Neodiprion lecontei: one gene and its partners. The protein of the gene in region 3 interacts with the protein of the main gene of each other region in a pairwise test. Links are inferred from orthologs where the notes say so. Each region holds a gene or a part of one and is shown on either strand. Other genes may lie near its edges.

Evidence for each region.
Region 1: the proteins of cytoplasmic protein NCK1 (region 3) and neural Wiskott-Aldrich syndrome protein interact in a two-hybrid assay, tested with the Drosophila melanogaster proteins (2 studies listed by BioGRID). The link is inferred for Neodiprion lecontei from reciprocal best matches to the Drosophila melanogaster genes dock and WASp.
Region 2: the proteins of cytoplasmic protein NCK1 (region 3) and insulin-like receptor interact in a two-hybrid assay, tested with the Drosophila melanogaster proteins (2 studies listed by BioGRID). The link is inferred for Neodiprion lecontei from reciprocal best matches to the Drosophila melanogaster genes dock and InR.
Region 4: the proteins of cytoplasmic protein NCK1 (region 3) and serine/threonine-protein kinase Pak interact in a two-hybrid assay, tested with the Drosophila melanogaster proteins (3 studies listed by BioGRID). The link is inferred for Neodiprion lecontei from reciprocal best matches to the Drosophila melanogaster genes dock and Pak.

The regions. Positions count from the first base shown.
Region 1 is NC_060260.1:27,945,926-27,951,504, forward strand, and holds neural Wiskott-Aldrich syndrome protein, read left to right. Parts: upstream 1-1,562; 5' UTR 1,563-1,708; coding exon 1,709-1,804; intron 1,805-2,741; coding exon 2,742-3,022; intron 3,023-3,177; coding exon 3,178-3,474; intron 3,475-3,591; coding exon 3,592-3,904; intron 3,905-3,997; coding exon 3,998-4,312; intron 4,313-4,571; coding exon 4,572-4,823; 3' UTR 4,824-5,052; downstream 5,053-5,579. Other genes in the region: ralBP1-associated Eps domain-containing protein 2, read right to left, coding at 76-228.
Region 2 is NC_060266.1:24,896,608-24,901,254, reverse strand, and holds the start of insulin-like receptor, read right to left. Parts: upstream 3,028-4,647; 5' UTR 2,538-3,027; intron 1-2,537. UniProt on the Drosophila melanogaster protein: Has a ligand-stimulated tyrosine-protein kinase activity. Binds 3 insulin-like peptide ligands.
Region 3 is NC_060261.1:35,431,553-35,438,220, reverse strand, and holds cytoplasmic protein NCK1, read left to right. Parts: upstream 1-1,820; 5' UTR 1,821-2,410; intron 2,411-3,126; 5' UTR 3,127-3,349; coding exon 3,350-3,368; intron 3,369-3,759; coding exon 3,760-4,697; intron 4,698-4,946; coding exon 4,947-5,168; 3' UTR 5,169-6,111; downstream 6,112-6,668. Other genes in the region: integral membrane protein 2C, read right to left, coding at 250-333; arf-GAP domain and FG repeat-containing protein 1, read right to left, coding at 6,112-6,165, 6,256-6,386, 6,519-6,668. UniProt on the Drosophila melanogaster protein: Adapter protein that links cell surface receptor tyrosine phosphorylation to downstream signaling pathways and effectors, many of which are involved in regulation of the actin cytoskeleton.
Region 4 is NC_060263.1:25,613,953-25,618,743, forward strand, and holds the start of serine/threonine-protein kinase Pak, read right to left. Parts: upstream 3,030-4,791; 5' UTR 2,881-3,029; exon of another isoform or gene 2,486-2,880; intron 192-2,485; 5' UTR 129-191; coding exon 73-128; intron 1-72.

The DNA of each region.
Region 1 (5,579 bases), on a different chromosome or scaffold from region 3:
GAGAATTGATAGTGGTACACAGTAATGGTTTAGAACTAGGAACGTGATGTTTAAATGGTATGCTAAATTTTATACCTTTTTGGCAATTCGGCGCGGTATGTGAGTGGTGCGTACAAGTTGAGTGACTTTGGCGATTGGGACCTCATCAATGTCAGGGTCTTTGCGAAAACAGTTGAAAGTCTCTCCGTAAAGATCGTGTTCCTCTTCGGTCAGCTGTGGATCCTCCATCTTGTCAAATTAACGTTAGTTTAGTTATTCGCGGAATATTGTACCACCTAAACATGATACGGTTAAGGTGACATTATTCTAATACGGTATATCCAAGCAAGATAAATGACACTGGTCATTCATTTTACGATTTACTAGCTACACCCCACGTAAACGGGCATACAGGCACATTCGCCATATTCGTCCGTTTGACGTACGCTCAAACATTGACTAACTTGATCAAGGATTGTCCGTCTTTGTTGAATTCGCGCACGCGTAAATTTTTCCTGAGTTCCTTCTTTACCGGCACTACAATACCAATAATGACGTCATCTCAATTTTTTACTGAAGCTGAACGATAGTGCTGTTCTTCAATGAATGTTTGACGTGTAGTACCTTTCATTGAAGATTGAAGAGCATAGTTATCGACCGTTAGATAAACAAAGGAATCATCTCGATTCCTATTCCTATTATTATCTTGTCCTATGAATACGCTACTGTCTCATTTGCAATTATACGTAACTACTGCGATGGTAGCGCCTGTGCGTACGAAGTTGTCTTTTTCATTTCTCTTCATCGAAATACAATAAGCAGTTGATCTTCTACGATCACAGATCATGCAAACTGCACCATCGAATAACGTCGAATATCGAATTCATGGGTTGATTTAGCGCGCGTGTCAAACGAGGAGATAAAACCGATTCATAGGAAGAAAACGTAGCTTGTAAGGATGACCCAGTTGGGCTAAAATTGTTTACCTGCTGCCTATCAGTTAGAGACACGCCTCGGAAGGATGGGAGTTTTACAGGTCTACTACGGCAGTAATGATCCGCGAAATTGACATTTGCTAGCAGAATCCTCTGCGTATACTTCAGCGAATTACGTGGTTTGCGCAACAGTTATTCAATAATAAATTTCTGCACACTTGCTAGAAATGTCTTGAATACTTTCTGATTGCGGATAAGTGTCAACAATGTAATATCAAAGTGTTGATGTGGTTATACGTAGACAGTGACGGGCAGTGCAGTCTCACTTTGTACATACGTTCAACTGACAGGCATGATTTTGACCCCTGTTAGAATTCATTGCGAATTAGCTGTGATCGTGGTTAATGACTCACTAGAGTCGCGTATAAGTGGATGACTACTCTTTATCCACCCGTTCGTTCGTGTGTACTTAAATCTTGTGTATTAAAAATAGGTTATGTATCTACGAAAGGAAAAAAAGACAATGCTCATCGAACCGGATGCAAGAAAATGTCATCAAGCGTCACTCTCGCTTCCTGTTGAGATACCTTCGTGGGTGGTGTTGCTTTCGGTATACGGTGAAGGCTTACTCACGGATAGGCGGTTGTAAGCGGGCAAAAATGCAAAATCCGCAATCAATTCTACGGTGATTTACGTGCCAGTGCCCTGGGCCGTCTGGGAATCGAATGGAACTTCTGGAGCCGTGGATATCGCTACGTCCATAACCTAAACGTGTATAATATTTTTTGTCGAAAATGAAATCTGGACGCTTGAACGAGCACAGAGGATCCATCCTTCTCTCGAAGGAAGAAAACCAGGAAGTCTTCAAGCTTATTGGGAACCGATGTCAGGTGTGAACTTGTCAAATTTGTCATCACTACCTTTGTCAATATCCTTTCATTGCTAACTGATACTGACCTATATTTAAAGCTACAGGCAATCGTTGTCTACCTACGTGTTTAGAACCAAAGATTGCCTAATTTAGAAGTTCCTGTCGAATACGTGAAAATTTTTCAAAACACTATTACTTATTGAATATACTGTATTCTCTGATCTATGACAACATTCTATGTTGTATGATTATTCGCAGACTCCACCTTGTTGACATTACAAATTTATTATTTTTGAAGCAGTAAATGGTGCATATAGAATTTAGATGTAAACTAACATCTGTTAGTTAGACTTTCGATTTTATGTTTTAGTTATTCTAAATTTTAGTTGCCATTTATTGGATTGTCATTATAATTACCGCATATGTTGGGTATATTTAAAATGCTTGAAGTCATATGATCAATGGCTGATCATTATGTTACACATAATCTGTGATTTTGCAAGAAGTTCTGTCTGCTTATCACAATATTTCAAACATATACTGCTATGACAGGAATGTTATCAATTTCTGGCTTAAGATTATAAAGCATTATCATATTTCATTTGATAACAGAGTATTTTGTAACATTTTTCATATAACACACTTATTTCAACATATAGGCCATTGGGAACCTTCATAAGTTTTTTTTCATATTTAAGCGATATACTATACAATTAGATCATAATTATAACATAATTGTAAATTCCATATCTTCACATTTCACATCAGCGGTCAGTAATTGCATCTAATTTTAGTTGAGACGAGGCAAGCACGCTTTTAATTGTTCGAAACAAATGGTTAATATTTTTATTCAAACTAATATTTGGTCATGTTGTTTTGCTTATGACTCATTTGTTGTATTTTTGTCACAACATGTGAGACAATTGTGTAGCTAACAGTATGTTTTGCTATTTCAGTGCCTTGCAGCTGGTGTGATACAACTATACGTAACTGAGTCTCCATCACATAGGGATTGGATAAAAAGAGATACTGGTGTAATAACACTCATTAAAGATAATCCAAGACGCAGTTACTTTTTTAGGCTGTATTGTCTGCGAAGAAACGCAATGCTGTGGGAACATGAAGTCTATAATTCAATGGATTACAAAGCTCCCATGTCCCATTTTCACACATTCGAGGGTGAAGATTCTATGACTGCTTTTAATTTTGCCAGCGAAACAGATGCAATCATATTGAGGTATTAATCGCTTTTTCTCTAAAACCGCAATAAGAAGTCAAGATTATGGCACAACATGTTTTGCTATGAAGTAACATACAGTCTAATTTTATATATGTTACAATCGTTCATTATTGTCGATGGTTTGATAATAATTTCCTTTCCTCACATCAAAGGTCGATAATTCTTGAAAAGCTTAATGCTAAGAGGCAAAGAAGACAAGAAAGAAAGTCACGAATTAATGCCGATTCTCATCATTCGCTGACGTTGCCAAAAAAGAGCCACAGCAATACCTCAGCTGTAGGTTTCAGCACTGGAAGTTCAACAGACATATCAAATGGCTCTTCATCATCCGCTACTGTCAATAGAAGCGTGTCCAGTAGTTCGATGTACAAAGCTAAGAACCATAAACAGGACAAGGATCCAAAGAGAAGATTGACAAAGGCGGACATAGGTTCCCCCTCAAACTTTCGGTATGATTTTAATTTATTGAGAGTATTGCGCTCTCAACCTTGACACTATAAAGAAATTTGCGTAATACAAATTTTCTCTCGAGAAATATATTAATTGTGTAATATTACCTGTTACAGACATGTGGCACACATGGGTTGGAATGTGAACAGTAAAGGTTTAGAATTGGAATCCGTAGATCCGCAATTAAAGCAGTTTTTCGACACAGCAGGTGTTTCGGATGATCAGCTGAGAGATCGAAAGACGCGAGAGTTCATCTATGACTTCATCGAATGCCATGGGGGCATAAATGCTGTTAAAGCAGCTATAATACCACCTTCGAGTATACAAGGCAATCAACCACCACCGCCGCCAGCACCGACAGGATTAGGACCTCCACCTCCTGTTCCCGCTCGAACTGTTCCAGTTAGTCCCGGACCTCCAATAAGTAGTGTGCGTTGCCATAATGTTAGGAAAAACTATACTAATATCCGAGTTATCTTTTAAGTACATCAGTCATGCTTTAATTTATTATGATCATTTCAGAATCAGCCACGTAGTGCTCCGCCTTTGCCACCTTCAAGAACTGCTGCACCACCTCCACCACCTAATGCCCCTCCTGCTCATCGGCCTTTGCCGGCTCGCCCTGTTGCATCTTCTGTGACATCACCACCATGTCCTCCACCACCACCTCCACCTCCAATGTCCACAAACATACCTCCTCCTCCTGCACCTCCGATACCACAATTAACAGAGATGGATAATGAGACAATAAACAGTAATGCCACTAATAACAATGGTGGATTACCTGATACCAGAAATGCTTTGCTCGATGCAATCAGAAGTGGTACAACGCTCAAGGTACGATGACCGTTTCAAATTTGTTTTTTAAATCTGATGATATACGTTATGTGATCAATTTTTATTTCGTAAATCCGAAAATATTTAATGCACATAAGATGTATCTGAGCAAACTTTTGATTTATTTATAATTTTCATTAATTTTCAGCATAGCTGCAATTGGGATAATCCGTGTTTAAATGAATTCAATTTCGAAATTTCATTTAAAATGTTTTCATATCCATATACTTTCGTGACTCGATTTACTTTTATATTGCAGAAGGTGGACAAAGTCGAGCCCAAGCCAAATTTGGCTGACGATACTAGAGGTAATCTGTTGAGTCAGATACGCCAGGGAGTCGAGTTGAAGTCGGTTGCAAATCAACCAAAATCTGCCCCGTCTCCAATCATACAGAATAGTTTAGCTGGAGCTTTAACTAGGGCCCTAGCAGAAAGATCGCGTGTAATACACAGTGATAGCGACAGTGACGATTCAACGAGTGAGACCAGTGGTGATGACTGGGACGATTGAATAGTTACTTTTGTCTGTAACACTAAAAAGGTATTTGTAAAGATCGATGATTTAATGTGCAGGTCCTACGAGTACCTGGCTTATTATTTACTAGATGAAAATAAGTTGAAAACAAAAGTTTTTCTTTTTTTTTTCCCCAAGCAATTATACTAGGTAATTGAGAGCAATGTAAGAACTATTTTTTTCTGAAAGGGTGCTGAGTGCTTAAAAATTTAAGTATGTTAGAGAGGTGCTTCCTTTTGATACTGATATTTTTCGTATTGATTACGGTATTTTTAGTATAAAAATGAATTTATTATTGTGTTTCATAAAGTAAACATGTAAGTGAGTCCCTAAGTTTCAGAGATACTGAAAACGAGATGCGAGTGTTAATGGTCAATTATTTTATTTATATACTTTAATCTGGCATGCAGCACCCTTTTTCAGCTGGAGTATGGTTCAGAAATGGAATAAAGTGAAACTACTGCGCACTAATGGTTTGCAGTCTCATGCATAGAAATTAATTTATTGTATTTTTAAGCTATAATATGACAGGTTCGTTATATTTAAAGTTAACTATTTGAATTGAAATATGAAACGTTGTGCATGCTTAAATACATTTTGAATATTTTCTAAAGTCTGACTATAGTGATAAGATGTTCAACATGGCGTGGTGATAAAAACACTTCCTTCCTTGTACCTTCTTTCAACACACGATATATAAAAAAATATTTCTGTTACGCATTAATCGAACAGTTTCTTCTGTTTTGGATATTT
Region 2 (4,647 bases), on a different chromosome or scaffold from region 3:
AGATAAAAATTAACGAAAAGAAGAAAAGTAACGTAAGGAAGACGAATTTTTCAACGAGCAGCAGCAGCAGCAGCTACGTAGAACGATATTCGTTACACCATTTATACAAAATAATTTCACACCATTGCATAAGGCTCGCGTTGTTATTAATTTTAAACCAAGTTTCGCACCCGTTCGGTTACCGAGATATATCTATATTATTTATGTACTGCATGTAAATAATTATACATATATATATATATATACACACGCACAATCGTATTATACAATAACAACATCGTTGAACATCGCGAAAACTTAATGCAACCCGTAGCTTCTTCTCGCGCTACGATAGTGAATTATCATCATATTAGTTTACGTTGCACTAAAAAACAACGATAATAATTGTACAATGCACGACATATGTCGGACAGGCAGGCCATGCTACATAGTACGGTACGACAAACGTGTGTAATATCTAATACACGTACATATAGGCGTGTAATAAATTTTGCCTCAAACCTCGTCTTTGTCTTTTTGTTTTTTTTTTGTTTTTGTTTTTTTCTTTTGTCTTTGTACTTGCGTCGTCGAAGACACGCAAGAATCACAAGCATCGAACGAAAACTATTAGGATATCGGGCATAGAGATAGGAAAAAGACGGACAACGCACATGTGTACGCATACGTGTACACGTATAGATTAGAGGCGCGTGAGACGATTTGCGCGTGTATAAGTGGCGTGGCGTGGCGTGCGTGAGTGAATGCTTTCGCGCGCGTGTGTGTGTGTGTGTGTGTGTGTGTGTAAAACGCGAGTACGGGAGACTCCGCGTCAGGGACAATAATAGAATATCTCCATCTCACTCGGTCGACGTTTTCGATCCAGCGACGACTTTGGGCCACTTGTCCTCTTTCTTTTCTTCACCGACGTCGTTATTATTTATCCGTATTACGATTCGAAGCAAATTTTCATTACCACCGTTAATACGTGTACGTATAACGTGTGCCTGTATATATTTATGAACAACGTAAAGCATTTCATCCGTCGTGGAAATAACGCGAGTTAAATATTTCTTTATTTTATTATTGTCATTATTTTTGTTGTTGTTGTTGTTTTTCTTTCCCCGCTCCTTCTTTCTTTCGTTCGTTCTCATCCCCAAATTTTCTCCGACTCGTCGTACCTCGTTGTTTTCGCATCATCAATTTACAGTTCACGTAGTCACGTCGTGTTTATCTATTATAGTATACCTAAAGCATATTATGCCTACCTAATAACCCATCGTACTACGCACGGTGCGTGGGAAATTGTAATTACGCGTAGCGACGTACGCTCGAATTTCCCCGAAACTCGATAACGTCATTTCTTCCTTTCCTTACAACAACGCAACCGGCAATCACGGTATTATTACACCGGATATGATATTGCGTCATTGAATATCGAAAGATAACAACAGTCGTGACAATAGTAACAATAATAATAATAATAACAACGCAACAACAACAACAACAACAACAACAATTTGTCTCGTCGGCGAGTTGTTGGAAGAACAAAGAAAACAAATAAATAAAAGGAACAAAAAATTAAGAGAGGGGGGGGGGAGGGGCGAAGAGACGGTAAACGTTAACCTCGCGCTTAAAACTAGACCTAGAGCCGATACGTGTAGATGTGTGTACGTGTGTGTATACATATATATATGTACACACAAACACATGTATGTATGCATGCACGATTTACGCAGGGGAACAGAATCGCAAACGCGTACTGCGTATGTACGGTGTATGTATAGCAGAAGAAACGGTTGCATGTGTATGCCGGGGGGGGGGGGGGGGGGGAAGGAAAAAATAAAATTACCAACAATAACGATAATGCGCGTAATATTGTACGTACGTAGAGCACGAGTCGAAGAAAAGAGAGAAGGCATGAAATAAAAAATAAAAAAAATTACAAAAAAAAAAAATAATAAATAAATAAAATAAAATAAAAAAATGAAGGAAGAAAATAGAAAAAATGAGCAGCAGCAGCAGCAGAAACGGCAGTGGTATTGGTATTGCGGCGATAGGATAAGATCGGTGACGCAGGCGTGCGCGAGGGACTGACTATACCAACTCGGTTTTCAGTAGAATCTGGTGGAAATAAAAAAAAAGAGAGAAAAAAAATAAAATAAAAGTATGTACTCCGTGAGCATTGTGCGTAGGTTAGCGATTATATGCGAGTGTAGTTGGCTGCGGGAAGAGACAGACAAGACTTGGTAATCTGCGTACGTGAAATAAAATAAAATAAAATACCGCGTAAGTATATCGCGGCGTGAGAAGCGAGATATGCCCGAAAATACGACGTAGATGTAGGTAGGACAGGATAGGATAGGTATAGTGGCGCCTAGAAAGAGGCTAGATAGATGTCTCTCTATCCGGTATGAAAAGGCGGCGGTGTGTAGACGACGAAGTAAGTAAAGTTTTGTCGATTATCGGATTATCGGTTTATCGGTTGAAAATAGAGAAATACTTTTAGAGAGGCTAGAAATATGGAGAGAGAGAGAGAGAGAGAGGGGGGGGGGACTCACCTTGTGGCGTTCCAAACTTGCCCACCCGTGCTGCAACATTTTTCGAACGTACCAACAGCAGCAGCAGCAGCAGCAGCACCACCACCACCACCACACCACCACTACACCACCACCACCACCAGACGCACCACTTTGTCGAGGTTAAAGACCACCAACAGCACTAAAAACAAACTATTACCGCCTATCACTTCCGGCTAATATCGACCGGTAATCACAACACCGTTATTCACCTTTGATTCAGAGATGTTCAACGATTGATACGCAAACCGAACGCGAGTTGTTTACTACAATGCCGTACCACGAGAGCATCAACCATGCCCGTGCTGTAGCCGCGTCTCGTACTCTCGTACTCTCCTTGACTGAGCAAAACAAGCCCCGTGCGCAGTGAGATACTGCGCAGCTCACGCCGAGTAACGCGCGCATCGTCATCGTCGTCGTCGTCGTCGTCTCGTCGACAAACCCGAGGAGCCGTACGAACCAACGGCGTAGTTTTTTCCCCCTGCTTCTTTCTTATTCTTTATCTCTCTTTCTTTCTTTCTTTCTTTTTTTTTCTGCTACCCCTCTTCTTTTGCCTTAGTCTTTTTACTTTTTACTTCGAGTTTTTTCCTCCGCGGCCACTTCGAAAGCGTAACAATTCTTCTACCTACGCGGGCGGTCGCCCTGCTGTACCAACCGACTTTTCACCGGCCGAATACAACTACGCGGCACTCTTCGATACCGAACACTAGCATTTTACCATCACGACACACTATCGGTCACATGTTTTCAACGTGTCTACGATTTTTGTTCATTTTTTTCGTCATGCGCCCCTTATTGGTACCACGAGGGATTTATTCATCATTCGATTCGTAAAACGTTGTATCAACGGCCGAAAGGGGAGGGGGAGGGGTTCATTGTCCTCTTGGGTATGGCGGACTATTTCTAGGAAATTTCCGGCATTCACAGACGGACTGGCTGCGCCATCTACCCGCATTCACCGCGTAGTTTTTTTTTTTTCTTCGTTTTGTTCATTAGCTTTTTTTTCACCACATCTAGACACGTCGGTAAGGATGGATTGGGTGAACAATCTGTTTTATCAAAACCAACTTAACGCATCGCATATTACATACTGAGTGGATTTAATTTTCAAATAAATAAATATACATATGCGTACGTGTACATACTTTTTGTTCTTTTCTGTTACTTGCCAACATTCGCCTTTTGTATTGTTATTACCTCTTCAACATATATTTTGTGTTTACGTTTGCATATGATGCTGTATGTTCCAGTTTGCTCTCTTTCTCACTATCTCCCTCTCTATCTTTTCTTTTCAGCTTAGGAGTTCCTTTCTTGACATAGTTTAAAAAAAAAATCATCCAATCTTATTGCCCATCATCTGATAATACGTGAAAGGTCAAAAGGCCTGAGATGTGAAGCACGAGAAAATACGAAGAGTAGAATATTAATTTGTAAATTAAATAAGAAAATTATAACAATTGTTTACCTTGTGTACAATAAAAGTGTAGGACAAGGACCATTTGTGGCCATTTAAATATAATATCACTTACAAAAACCCCTTACAACAACGAGCGTATTGTATACATTTACCGTTGAGGAAATCGAAATACAATACGCGTATACGTACCAATCGTTGATCGTAGTAATACTATTTTCATATCGAACACCAACGTGATTGCAATAATCTACAAAAGCGTTGCTTCGTTGATATTATACACGTTTGACGTGTAATTAACAACTATCGAATTGCACCGGCGTCAAGTCGGAAGAATCCCAATACGACACTCCAGAACTTGCAATGAAGCCATCCTAATATGTTTGCTTGCAAAATGTTCGTCGTAAAAACATTCGATAATTTTCGCTACTTTCCACACTTTGTCTTTACAGTGAACATTGCGTCGTAAACTAACTTTTAGAACGTTTTCTTCAATGAATTTTTTGCATCGCAATATAGTCTAGCAAGCCTTGAGTTATAATCAACAAAACACGATTATTGAATTACATAAATTGTATACAAGGATCTTAAAGATCGGGTGCGTAGATATACTTTAAGTAGTTTTTGACTCGTTGAAAGAGTCTGAAAAACTTTGAGAAATCCATTTGCAAACGTGCA
Region 3 (6,668 bases):
GAATTTCAGACTACAACTTGAGATAAGATCAGCAGGCTTGACTATTTGTTTGACTGTTCCACAAGTGATAAGACTTTAATGACGTAAATACGCAGCAATCTACGGTTTATGATTTTCTCGAATGAACGCGCCGTTTGTAAAAAATATGAATTCACATACCAATTCTTAATGATGGAAAAGTACGATTGGATACTTTTTGAACGTAAATATAAGAAAAAATGATAAAAGTTTGATATTTATAATACTAACTGGAGGTATCTCGTCCACAACCAATGGTAGCTCCACTATGTCCGCAGCTTTCTTCTCAGTGATGGCTTTAGTGATTATCGTCATCTCGATGTAAAACTTTCGGTGAAGTTATTTAACTCTTCTCGTCGTCAGCACAATAAATATACAAGTCAATTTATTCTGCAATTCTCGAAACTCACCCAATTCGCTTGGTGATTAAGTGGGGTAATGGAACTCGCGCAAAGCTTAAAGTCGATCGAAACACAACCGTGATCCGGACACCAATAACACAACGATACGACAGAATCACGTACTACCGCACACAGAGTGCATGATTGATCGGTGACAGCTGCGCAGCTAGCCTCCACCCACCCCTAGTCTTCCCGTCGCTACAAAATATCACGGCAATGAGAATCTCTAAGCCATCTAGGCGCAGAGAGCGGTACTTTCACGATTGGCAGCCTACCCAGGGTAGCATTATCTCAAAAGTTCGTGTTGTGACCGTCACATGCGCGCGTGCATGACTTTACCGGCTAATGTAGTTTAGTATCCTTGCCTGCCGGCAAACCACTATCTGTCTATTTCCGCAAGAAGAGTCCAAGTAATCAGTGAGAAAACCCGTGCATGTCGGTCGATTGACACGCTGCATCGCATACAACGATTATGCTCAATCCTGCCGTAAATTCGACTCATGTTGCACCAGCATGCATCAATCATGACTAATTCTACCGCAAATTGCAGCCAATTATGGTTTTACATGATCGGATATGCTACAGCAAATTCTACCTGGGCCAGGTAGCTTTCAGTCGCAAGTTCATATTGTGACCGTCACATACGCGCAGGCTAGATTCTGCCGCACTGATACTCTCTGACTGATATATTATCATTAGATTATTTATCAGAGCTCTGCCGGCAGACCACTATCTGACTGTTTCCGCAGTTGTGGGAAGACTTGAACATGTGCGCTACCACACTACGGTGCTGTATTGATGTATTCATTCCATAGACAATGTCTATGATTCATTCATGCATCAATGCAGGTTATTTGAAAATCACATTACAGTTCGTGCACTCCCGAGAAAGGTAAAAGAACCGTTGAATCGCCACCTGCATATGAAAAATTGAAGTAATCAGTGAACAGCCGCGCTGCAGCAGTATGCAACAATCATGCCAAATGTTGCTGTCAAGTGCTACCGAACGCGGTCTTGCATCATCGGATGCTACAGAAAATGCTACTTGGGCAAGCCTCCGGACAGAAAGTGATAATATTATATTCTCCTCTGAAACCCTATTGAACACCGATCTTATAGGTTTGCGATAATTGTTTGACAAAAAATATCGTCTTTGCAAGTTAACGCTAAACCGATTACTACGATTCACTAATTTAAAAGTAATGACGCGATTTTTCATTGCGCTGTTTGAAAATTTCCAGGATTTGCGCTGTGACCACTTATGGCTCCGCGTGTGTTAGGACAGTAGACAAACAACTGTAATCATTTTACCAAAGCCTTGCGTCTAGCTAGTCACTACGATTGACAGAAATTGGTTTCCGAATTGTGAGCACGATGGCGCTGTTTGAAAATGGTAGTTGTAGAATTTTCGAGGGCCTGTAGTCTCTGCGTTTAGTCTGCCTTTAATCGGCGTCTCCGGTTTTAAGGGTGGGTCTGTCTTTTTGTGGGAGGGGTCGTACCGACGAACACGAGTAGGATTAATTGAAAATATAAGGACACTTTCGACGGAGAGCCTCTAGTCAGTAACGAGAGTCGATAGTGGACCCGGTCCAGGGTATTCGAACTTCGAACGAAGTGCGATTTCGTTAGACGACGATACGTTGAGGACGTACACATACGACATTGGTGATTACTACCGCGCGGTGGATGAATTTTCTTCAAGCCCTGTAGGGTCCATCCCTTATTCCTTTCCCCGTAGTCTGCCCGTCCGTTCGTTTTTCCCTTTCCCCCCTGGCCCTCTCTCCTTTGCTTCATTACACTACGTACTCCTCTGTTCATGGCTACAGAGTTCGGGGTGGGGGTAACAAGCTGTATTATCCTGCAGGATATTATACTCAGAGTTGAAAGTTAAGGAGAGACAGGAATTGGACAGAACTGAGCAGCTCCTTATATATCGAATCACCAAAAGATTACTGAAGTTTTATGCAGGAATATGTCAAGTTTAAAAATTGGTAAGAACTAACAATCGAATACCTCTAAAACTCTAGCATTGAAAGACTAGAATTGTAACTGCTTCAAGTTTTTTGAACGTATTCTTTATTTCATCCTCTGCAATGTAGCTGTGGAATTAATCACTCAAAGATAATTTTTGAGGCTATCTATGTTTGTAAATCCCTATCTTATTGTAATTTCTGAAAGTAATATTATATGAATTGTCTCTGCTTCCATTTTAACTTTCAAGTGTTCAACGATTAGTCATTAAGCTCAACTCGTTGGTATCTTTAACATTGGTCAGCTGACATTTTGCATGATTAATTTTCAACATGTTATAAGTGCATCAATAATGTGGATACTCGTTATCTGTATTACAATATGATTTTTAAGTAAAGGCTCTTCTTGTAGCGCATTATAAAGTATTGGTCAATGCTAGCGGAAATGTATTATTATGTAGCTAAACTTATTGTAGAGATATATTGAGCTATTAAGATAGCTGTAGAGCAAATCTTTCATGTACAACCCATTCTTGTCATACATTTCATTCGCAACTCTGGTACTGTAGTGGTCTGTAAAATGTTACCCCTTATTCACGACCACAACATATTAAATTCAAAGACAAACATATGCCGCCTGGTACTTGGACGTGCCTCTTTATTTAAGTTTTCAGCAACTATTATTTATTTCAATTACTTGGTATAATTAATGGCTGATTATTTTGTTTTCCTTAAAGTGTTGGCAATACACTTGCTTAATCTACCTTTGCGAACGATGGACCCTGAACCAAGAAATCAGAGGGTGTGCCAACAATAAAAAACAAAAAAAAGCTAAAGAATGAATGCCTGCTCCACTGACCCTGCCGACACAACACAAGCAGGCTTAAGATTCATTCACGTAGTACGTGAGTAGCCGATAACACGTGCCACTCTTCGACGTACATATCTCTATATTCGCACATGGCAGCCATGAAGCATGGTACGTCTTACAATTGTTTGCTTGTTGCTTTTCGATGTAGCCCGTATATTCTTTTGATTATTTACTACATTTTTGAGATTGAATACGTTTTCTCTTTGTTGTTTGTTTACTTTTGAATATTGTTATTTCGGAACATAGAATGAAAGAAAAAAAAAATCATAAAAAGTGAGCTTCTTTAGTGCTTAGATATATTGTTTGTATATGTTGTTTACAATTGTAATTAATAAAGCAATCTATTACCAATTATTATTCAATTCGAATTAAACATTCCATTTTATCACGAGAAGTTTGGTCCTATTATATTCAATTATGCTTTTAACCAAGGAGTAGCTTTTAGCAGAAGCAGTATGCCATCAATTGAGTGAAGTGTAATTGGATTTCATTCCTACAGGCAAGACCAGTCAGGACGACGTGTGCTACGTCGTCGCCAAGTACGATTATGGGGGACAAGGAGCCCAAGAATTGGATCTTCGTAAAAATGAACGATACTTATTGCTCGACGACTCCAAACATTGGTGGAGAGTCCAGAGTGCCAGGGGTCAAGCTGGGTATGTTCCAAGTAATTACGTCAAGAAGGAAAAGCCATCTCTGTTTGACAGTATCAAAAAAAAAGTCAAGAAAGGTTCAGGATCAAAAACGTTACCATCGAGTAACTCACCCTCAAGAGCGGTCGAGTCGCCAACCATGGCTCGAAGATTACCCGCAGATCCGAGTGAAGCAATTGGAACAGCAGTTGTAAAATATAATTATCAAGCGCAGCAGGCAGATGAATTGTCATTGGTGAAAGGAACGCGGATTCTCATACTTGAGAAGAGTAATGACGGCTGGTGGAGAGGACAGAGTGGCACTCAGGCCGGTTGGTTTCCTTCAAATTATACTCAAGAAGAAGGAGATGCAGATGATACGTTGCACACTTATGCAATGGCAGAAAATGTGTTGGATATTGTTGTGGCTCTCTATTCATTTTCTTCCAACAATGATCAGGAGTTATCCTTTGAGAAAGGAGATCGTTTAGAAATCCTTGATCGTCCACCAGCTGATCCTGAATGGTACAAGGCTAGAAATGGCCAGGGACAAATTGGCTTGGTTCCTCGCAACTACTTACAAGAACTAAGTGAGTACTTGACACAACCTTACCGTGAGCGAGGAATGACAACCAGTGAAATTGGAGCTGGAGACTCATTGGAACGAAGGCCTGATTCAGGGGATAGACCCCATCTTGTTGGGAAGCCATGGTACTATGGAAGAATAACTCGATCTCAGTGCGACACTCTTCTAAATCAGCATGGTCAAGATGGGGATTTCCTCATTAGAGACAGTGAAACAAACGTGAGTTACTTTTGTATTCACTGTATGGGCATTACAGAAAAGCAAAGACAATAGCTAAAATATCAAATTGTATCAAATTCCTTTCACTTGTCTTATTTATATGAAATCCACCAATACCAAATTCACTCAAATAGTGGCTCATATTAATTTATGGATGTGCAATTTTCGATTTGTAATGAATATATAATATATTCAGGTAATCAGTGAACTTTTTCCAATACTGTTTGATATTTAAATTGGTGTGTGTAGATGGGAGATTACTCTGTATCACTCAAGGCACCAGGACGAAATAAACACTTCAGGGTACACGTGGAGGGTGCTTTGTATTGCATCGGGCAGCGGAAATTTCATACTCTCGATCAACTGGTGGATCATTACCAACGAGCTCCGATCTATACAAACAGACAAGGCGAGAAATTATTTTTAGTTCGTCCATTACCGAAAGGGAATCCTAGTAGCAATGGCTGCTAGACTAAAATAATGCAGCATTGTTTTTCTGTACGTAGGATTATCTTAATACCTAATACCTGCCTAGCGTAACAATTGATATGATTACGTTAAGCAGTATTTATACACGAGACTAACATAATTGGTGAGCTCATATATTAGTGTTTCTCTTATTTGTCTTTTATTACTAAATAATTTATTACCATAAGTAATATAATTAATGATAAATAATGAACGTTGGAGCTTCCAACTTTACAACATATTAGTAAAAGTAATGGCAGCTAAGCGAGCTGGTGGGAGATCATTCATTTAGTTGACGCCATGCTTCTTTATCTATTTAATTAATATTGTACTAAGGTGTTGCGTCGACTATGATGCTACTAGTAGAGAATGCCAACGTACCCATGCATACTCTAGCGCACGCAAGTATAACGATCAATGAATGATAATTATTAAACCATACGACGAGTAACCAGATCTATCAATATGGAATATACCGATTAAGTTAAAACAAAGACTAAGTGTTCATTTGTGATTTTGTATTTATTAGAACATTTTTAAGTAAATAAACCATATTTAAGTGTGCACACATCTTTCACCCATTATTGTCGTCATCTTCCGAAGTATTCCAAGTATCATTATCACCATTTCAAACACACTCTTTACATTTATCATTGGGTTGTGTTAATGATGGACGGGTGAAAAGGTACTACGTCATAAAACCATAATATATCTGTATAATTAGTAACAAATATTATCTTTATTTAACGTGTATATTATATTCATAAATAAAAGTATCATTTACTTTTTTGTTATATGAATAAATGAGATTGGTGCTCTTAAAACGTAAAGTTGTTGGCACTAATTGCCAACAAAGTCATGTATATAAACAATTTTTTCGATACTATAAGTATTTTAGTTTTGCATTATTTGTTCGTAAGGTAATTATAAATTTAGGCTTGCATAATCATAAGAAAGGATTGTTCGTATTTCTTGTTGTCGTGCCAACTCCGGATCCCACCTGAAAATAAAATTTATCAAGTTTAAGAATTTGATGTTAGTTCATCGTTTGTAAATGGAATTGGCGGTCATTTTTCATGACCCAACTTACCATGAATGGATTTGCGTGATAGGAAGTCACTTTTGGTTGCCATGCTTTGCTCGAAAACGGCGTCATCAACTGACTAGACGAAACTACGTCACCATTACCAGGTAATCCAACTCCAAACCATTGCTGCTCTGCTACGAAGAAATAAATTAAAAATCTACTTGCTATAAAACGATACTGTTGAAAAATCATATATCAATGCACAACTGAGTCAGGTATTAGGTATCGTCAAACACAAATGTGATTTCTATACTGTTATACATTACCATTATTTGAAGAGAATTGGATTGTCCTGAAGGGATTGACTGAATTGCACGCATTGTCCATGGGTTGCGAATTGTTATTATTATTTACGCTATTTACCGTTGGCTGCCAAGCATTTTCGCTAGTGAACGGATTTGAAATTACATTTGTTG
Region 4 (4,791 bases), on a different chromosome or scaffold from region 3:
TATATAAAGTGATAACAAGGATCACATGGTAATTCAATATTTGAAACATTAAATTTAGTGTTGTAACAGTACCTGTTTGAGGTGAGGCGAACCGGTGGTGCCGGAGGTTTGTCTTCTTCATCTGACATTATGCTCTTCGTGGTGTTTAGTTTTCTTTACCTTTCCTTTATAGCTGAGCTTCCACTTATTCACTAGTGAACATAATGTAATAGTTATTAAACGTAGGTCATCGTTTTTTACACTTAAATCATTAATTAGTTCAAAATGTTTCAAAAACTTTTAAAAACATTGAAGTAATTTGAAACCATCTAATTATTAATGTGCTCATATCATATTGTACTGTAACTTTTCAGCCGAATGTATCTGCGATGTTGAAATTTAATATGGCTCGAAAAACCTATAAAAACAAATCATTATGTAACAATTTTCGAACAAGATTGTCAGGGTTCTAATGGCAAAGTGAGTAAACTCTGCTCTGACAAAGCCTTAATTTACCGTTTAATGCATTTCTTACAATTCGGATTTGGCAAAATATCAATTGAAAAAAAAAAAATATTTCAGTGTTACGAACTTGAACTTTGTATGCATATACTACTATCTAATATAAAGATTAAAACTCATGATATTCGATGGAAATACGAGATCAAGTAGTAACTTAAGGTATGGATGAAGTTAGTAACCATACTGTAACAATACATGTTGAGGAAAAATCGTTACTTCACACCTTTAGGAATGTCTGAAATTTAGTAAACCACGATAAATAAAATATACTCATATTTTGCAGAGCCAACTTCTTGACAGTCGTTTTAAAATTGTGCAATAATGATTTTTTTCTTAATATTTCATTACGTTGACATTATTAACTTCAGCTTTATAACTTAAGTGGGTCTGATTTTTGATGTAATCTTAAAGTAAAACGTCAGTTATCTAAATATCAATTGTACATATTAGGGATTATCCGAATCACAATTTCTGATTCCACGTTTAGTTCACTCATTTGAAAAGTCATGCAAAAATGAATCATGTAGAAGTTAATAACGTTATCGTAACGATTTATGCTGAGAAAAAATCTTTTTTTTCACGAATTTGGCATTGTTTCAAATTCAGTGAACTGTTATGATCCAAGACATACTCATATTTTGAAATCTTACTTTCTTGACCATCATTCTAAAATAAGAAAATAATGAATTTTTACCTAATTTTTCACTATGATAACGTTGTGTACTTCAATCGCGTAACAATGAGACACGTCATTGATTTTTACATGTTATTATAAATGAGCTTACGTTGTAAAACAAAGGAGAATCGTCAATTTTGTCTCGTGGTGAAATAAAAATCTATTGTAAACATGTTGAACGATTTTAAATAAATATATTTCATGAGTTTGAACAAATCATTGCTCTACTGTAGTTCCATTATTCAACATTGCAGTTACATTCATTTGCATCTTTCGCGGAAATTTCTGGCACAGATTAAATAGATGAGTATAATAACAATGCGAATCAACTTGTTTCAGACTTATTTCCGTATAAGCTAATCAAAAAAGTAGTTACATTCTCATCTGCACGTATTAAGTTCTGTACTTTTCCAATTTTTCTTTTTATTGCAAATAGTCGTGTATCCAAATGACTAAAACTTATTAATGTTGGGCAGTCAGGTTTCAGTTTCATGAATAAACAAGTCGAAATTATCGACAGCGATAAAGCTACTTGTTTGTTACTGGATTTTATTTTCAAGTTCTCTGCACTAAGTGATGATATTTATCTTCATTGTTTCAAGGTTAATGAGACAAGAGCTGGCAAACTATCCACAAAGTTTACTAAAGATTTCAAACTATGAATAAAAAACTGTATTGCATTTTCATACAGAAATCTTGTACCTAACAGACTTTTTGTTATATTAATTTACGACCATCCAAAGGCGAGAAACACCCGCAGTATGATTTTTCTTACATGTGTGTTTTGGCTTAGGATAGCAATGGAATATAAAAATTGATCAAAACAAAAGTGACAGTATAACAAAGACCAAACCTAATTCAAGCTCAGTGATAAATTTAGGACGTACACACATTTGGAGTGCTCAGAGTGATCCATGTAGATTTGTTCCGTAGTAAGAATAGCCATTAATATGGAAGATTGAGTGCAAAATCACATGTATCATTGAGAAGCAATAAAATATTACTGCAAGACAACTATTAAGTCAATAAAATTTTGAACGGTATTAAAAGGCAGGAAAATGTTTACAGCTATGTTCAGTTTCAAATAATTGATAAGAGACATGTTGAGAGCAAGTACGAGGAACAACAATGAGTACATGTAACGAATATGAATAAAACGTTGACTTACAAATGTAGATTATTCACAGTTATAATAGACAAATTTTGTTCCAACACTACAAGTTTATAGGGTATTAACTAGAGTTCTCTTTGGTTTAGATTAGACAAAAAAATACATATGTATGTACGAATTCAGCGTTACAGGTTTACCATTTATTATTTGAACCTTCAGCAGCCTTAAGTGTATCACAGTCGAGGATAGTCAAAGATCTAGTTGATGAAAAGCATGCCCGACACTGCACTAATTGTGACAGAACAGAGCATTTGAAACATAATTCCACCGGCCGTTTGGAAAATACAGCTGAAAGATCAAAAAAAAAGAAGGTATGTTTTAGCCGTGGGATGAGGAGGAAATGTCAAGTTCGTTGCAGACGGACCGATATTTGAAGTGCAGGAAAGAAGAGAATGGATATTGGCCATCCGGGAGCCCCTAAAGCGTGAATCACACACGACGAGCGATCTGATCACCACGCATCTGTACCAGCTCACAATAAAAAGGAACCACGATTTTTTCATGTACTTGACGTATTGCGGACGATTTATACCGTGCAAACCTCTTGACCGGCGTTAGTCGCGTGCCTGTATGACTTAAAGTGATCAACGACAATTCATTCTACTTAATATTTCGATTTTTTAAAAATCCTTTCACTTCAGACAAGGGCCTGAATCACCGCCCGCCATCGCCACAGACCATACGCATTCAAACACGAAAGTGAGAAAGGCAACTACAGGCTACTACCGTGCCACCACGGTCGTATTCGTTACGTTAGGTGTCCACAACTGGTAGCCTCGAGCCAAAACTTTGAAAAGGATGAAAGACTGATTCAAATTGCACTGAAACGAGAAATAAATGATAGTACGTTCTAAAATTAGCTGACGGCGTTAAAAACTCTTTAGGACAGAGGCAGAGCTACTCACGAACCCGGCAGGGCAAAAAAGCTAAAAGATTGCTGACAGCACTGGGAGCGGCAGTGTTCCCAACTCGTCCGTGGGGGGCTATGTGACCAGGGCCGTAGCATTATAGTACCGAAAAAAAAATTATAGTACTTTTTTGAAAATGTTAATAATGCAATAAAATCACGGAATATGGAATGACGGCAGGAACTGGCGGGAAGCGGGAAACGGGGCGCTCAAATCAACACCAACGCGCCTGAGCCCGAACCGTGCATGTCAGCGCCCTCCGTAATAATGTGGTTAAAATTAAAAACCACATTATGGTGAATGGCGCTGACAATTTTTTGCCTAGCGCGAAAAGATTTGAATACGTTTCTTTTGAAAAGTATTAAAAATCTTTTTTTTTCGAAAAGTATTAAAGAATTTTGTCCGCCAGTTTTTGTATTACAAAAAAAAACTTCTTTTTATACAAATTTCCAAATTATAGTAGATTTCCGTCACATAATGAAAGTTCTATGTTACATAGTACGAAGTTCATATTTATGTGACATCTACTACAATTATGTGACGGTTGGGAACACTGTTGGCAACCACTTGCTCAGCCCCCTGCAACTAGATCGAGCGAAAAAGTCAAAAGAGTAACCTAGTATGTCACATAATTTTAGTTCTTATTGAAGGCGCTAGTAGTGCAGTTGCACGGGTTGCACTCTGTAAAGGCCGTAAAGGTAATCGCGCAAACCCACTGATATATATCGCAAACCGCGCAACTGTACTACTAACGCTCTCTACCGAGTGTGACAACATAGACTCGTTTTCTGAAACACAGAGTTGCAGGGAGCTGCACTTGCTCGATCGACCGAGTATATCTATATATACTCTGCGAGCGCGCCTAATTTCATGCCTGGCACACGATTGTAGGCCGCCTTCGGTGCATGGCCGCCTAGGTGTCGCGTCGACGCTCCAACCTAGCTGGTATCACGAAAAGCCGAGCGTTAGAGATCTCCCTACTTATCTCTGGTGAGCATGTCAGAAGTCTACTAGCGCCACGTAGAGGAACTGAAAAACGGGTACAAAACAAGAAGCTACGTCGGAAAGTGTCATTCAATTCTGATCTGGCGGTAAATATTTCGCCCCAAGAATCGACCATAAAAGCACGATGAACGGTTTGGCAGCGGAAAAAAGTTCGCAATCTCAACAGTCCAACAGCAAATATTCATTCTCATCGTTCGATAATCTCAACCTCGTACAGACGGTTTTATTTATCATCAGTTATCATTCCACATTATTGTCAGGCTTCTAGGTTCCGAACTGGGTCCGCGATTTTTTGCGGCGCAAGATTCGCGGCCCGCCGTTCCGGCATCGCTGAGTTTGCAGAACATTTCTCAGGACGCGAACAGGTCTGGGTAAGAATCAGGATGGTACGTCATGACACAGACAGGTACGTCATTTCGCCTTCAGGTGACCTCCAAAATTTCGTTTGTTTTGCTGTATCTATCACCGTTCTCGAGATATTCGCGATTCAACTCGATCAACCCCCACTCCATGGGAAGAGTAACAAAAAG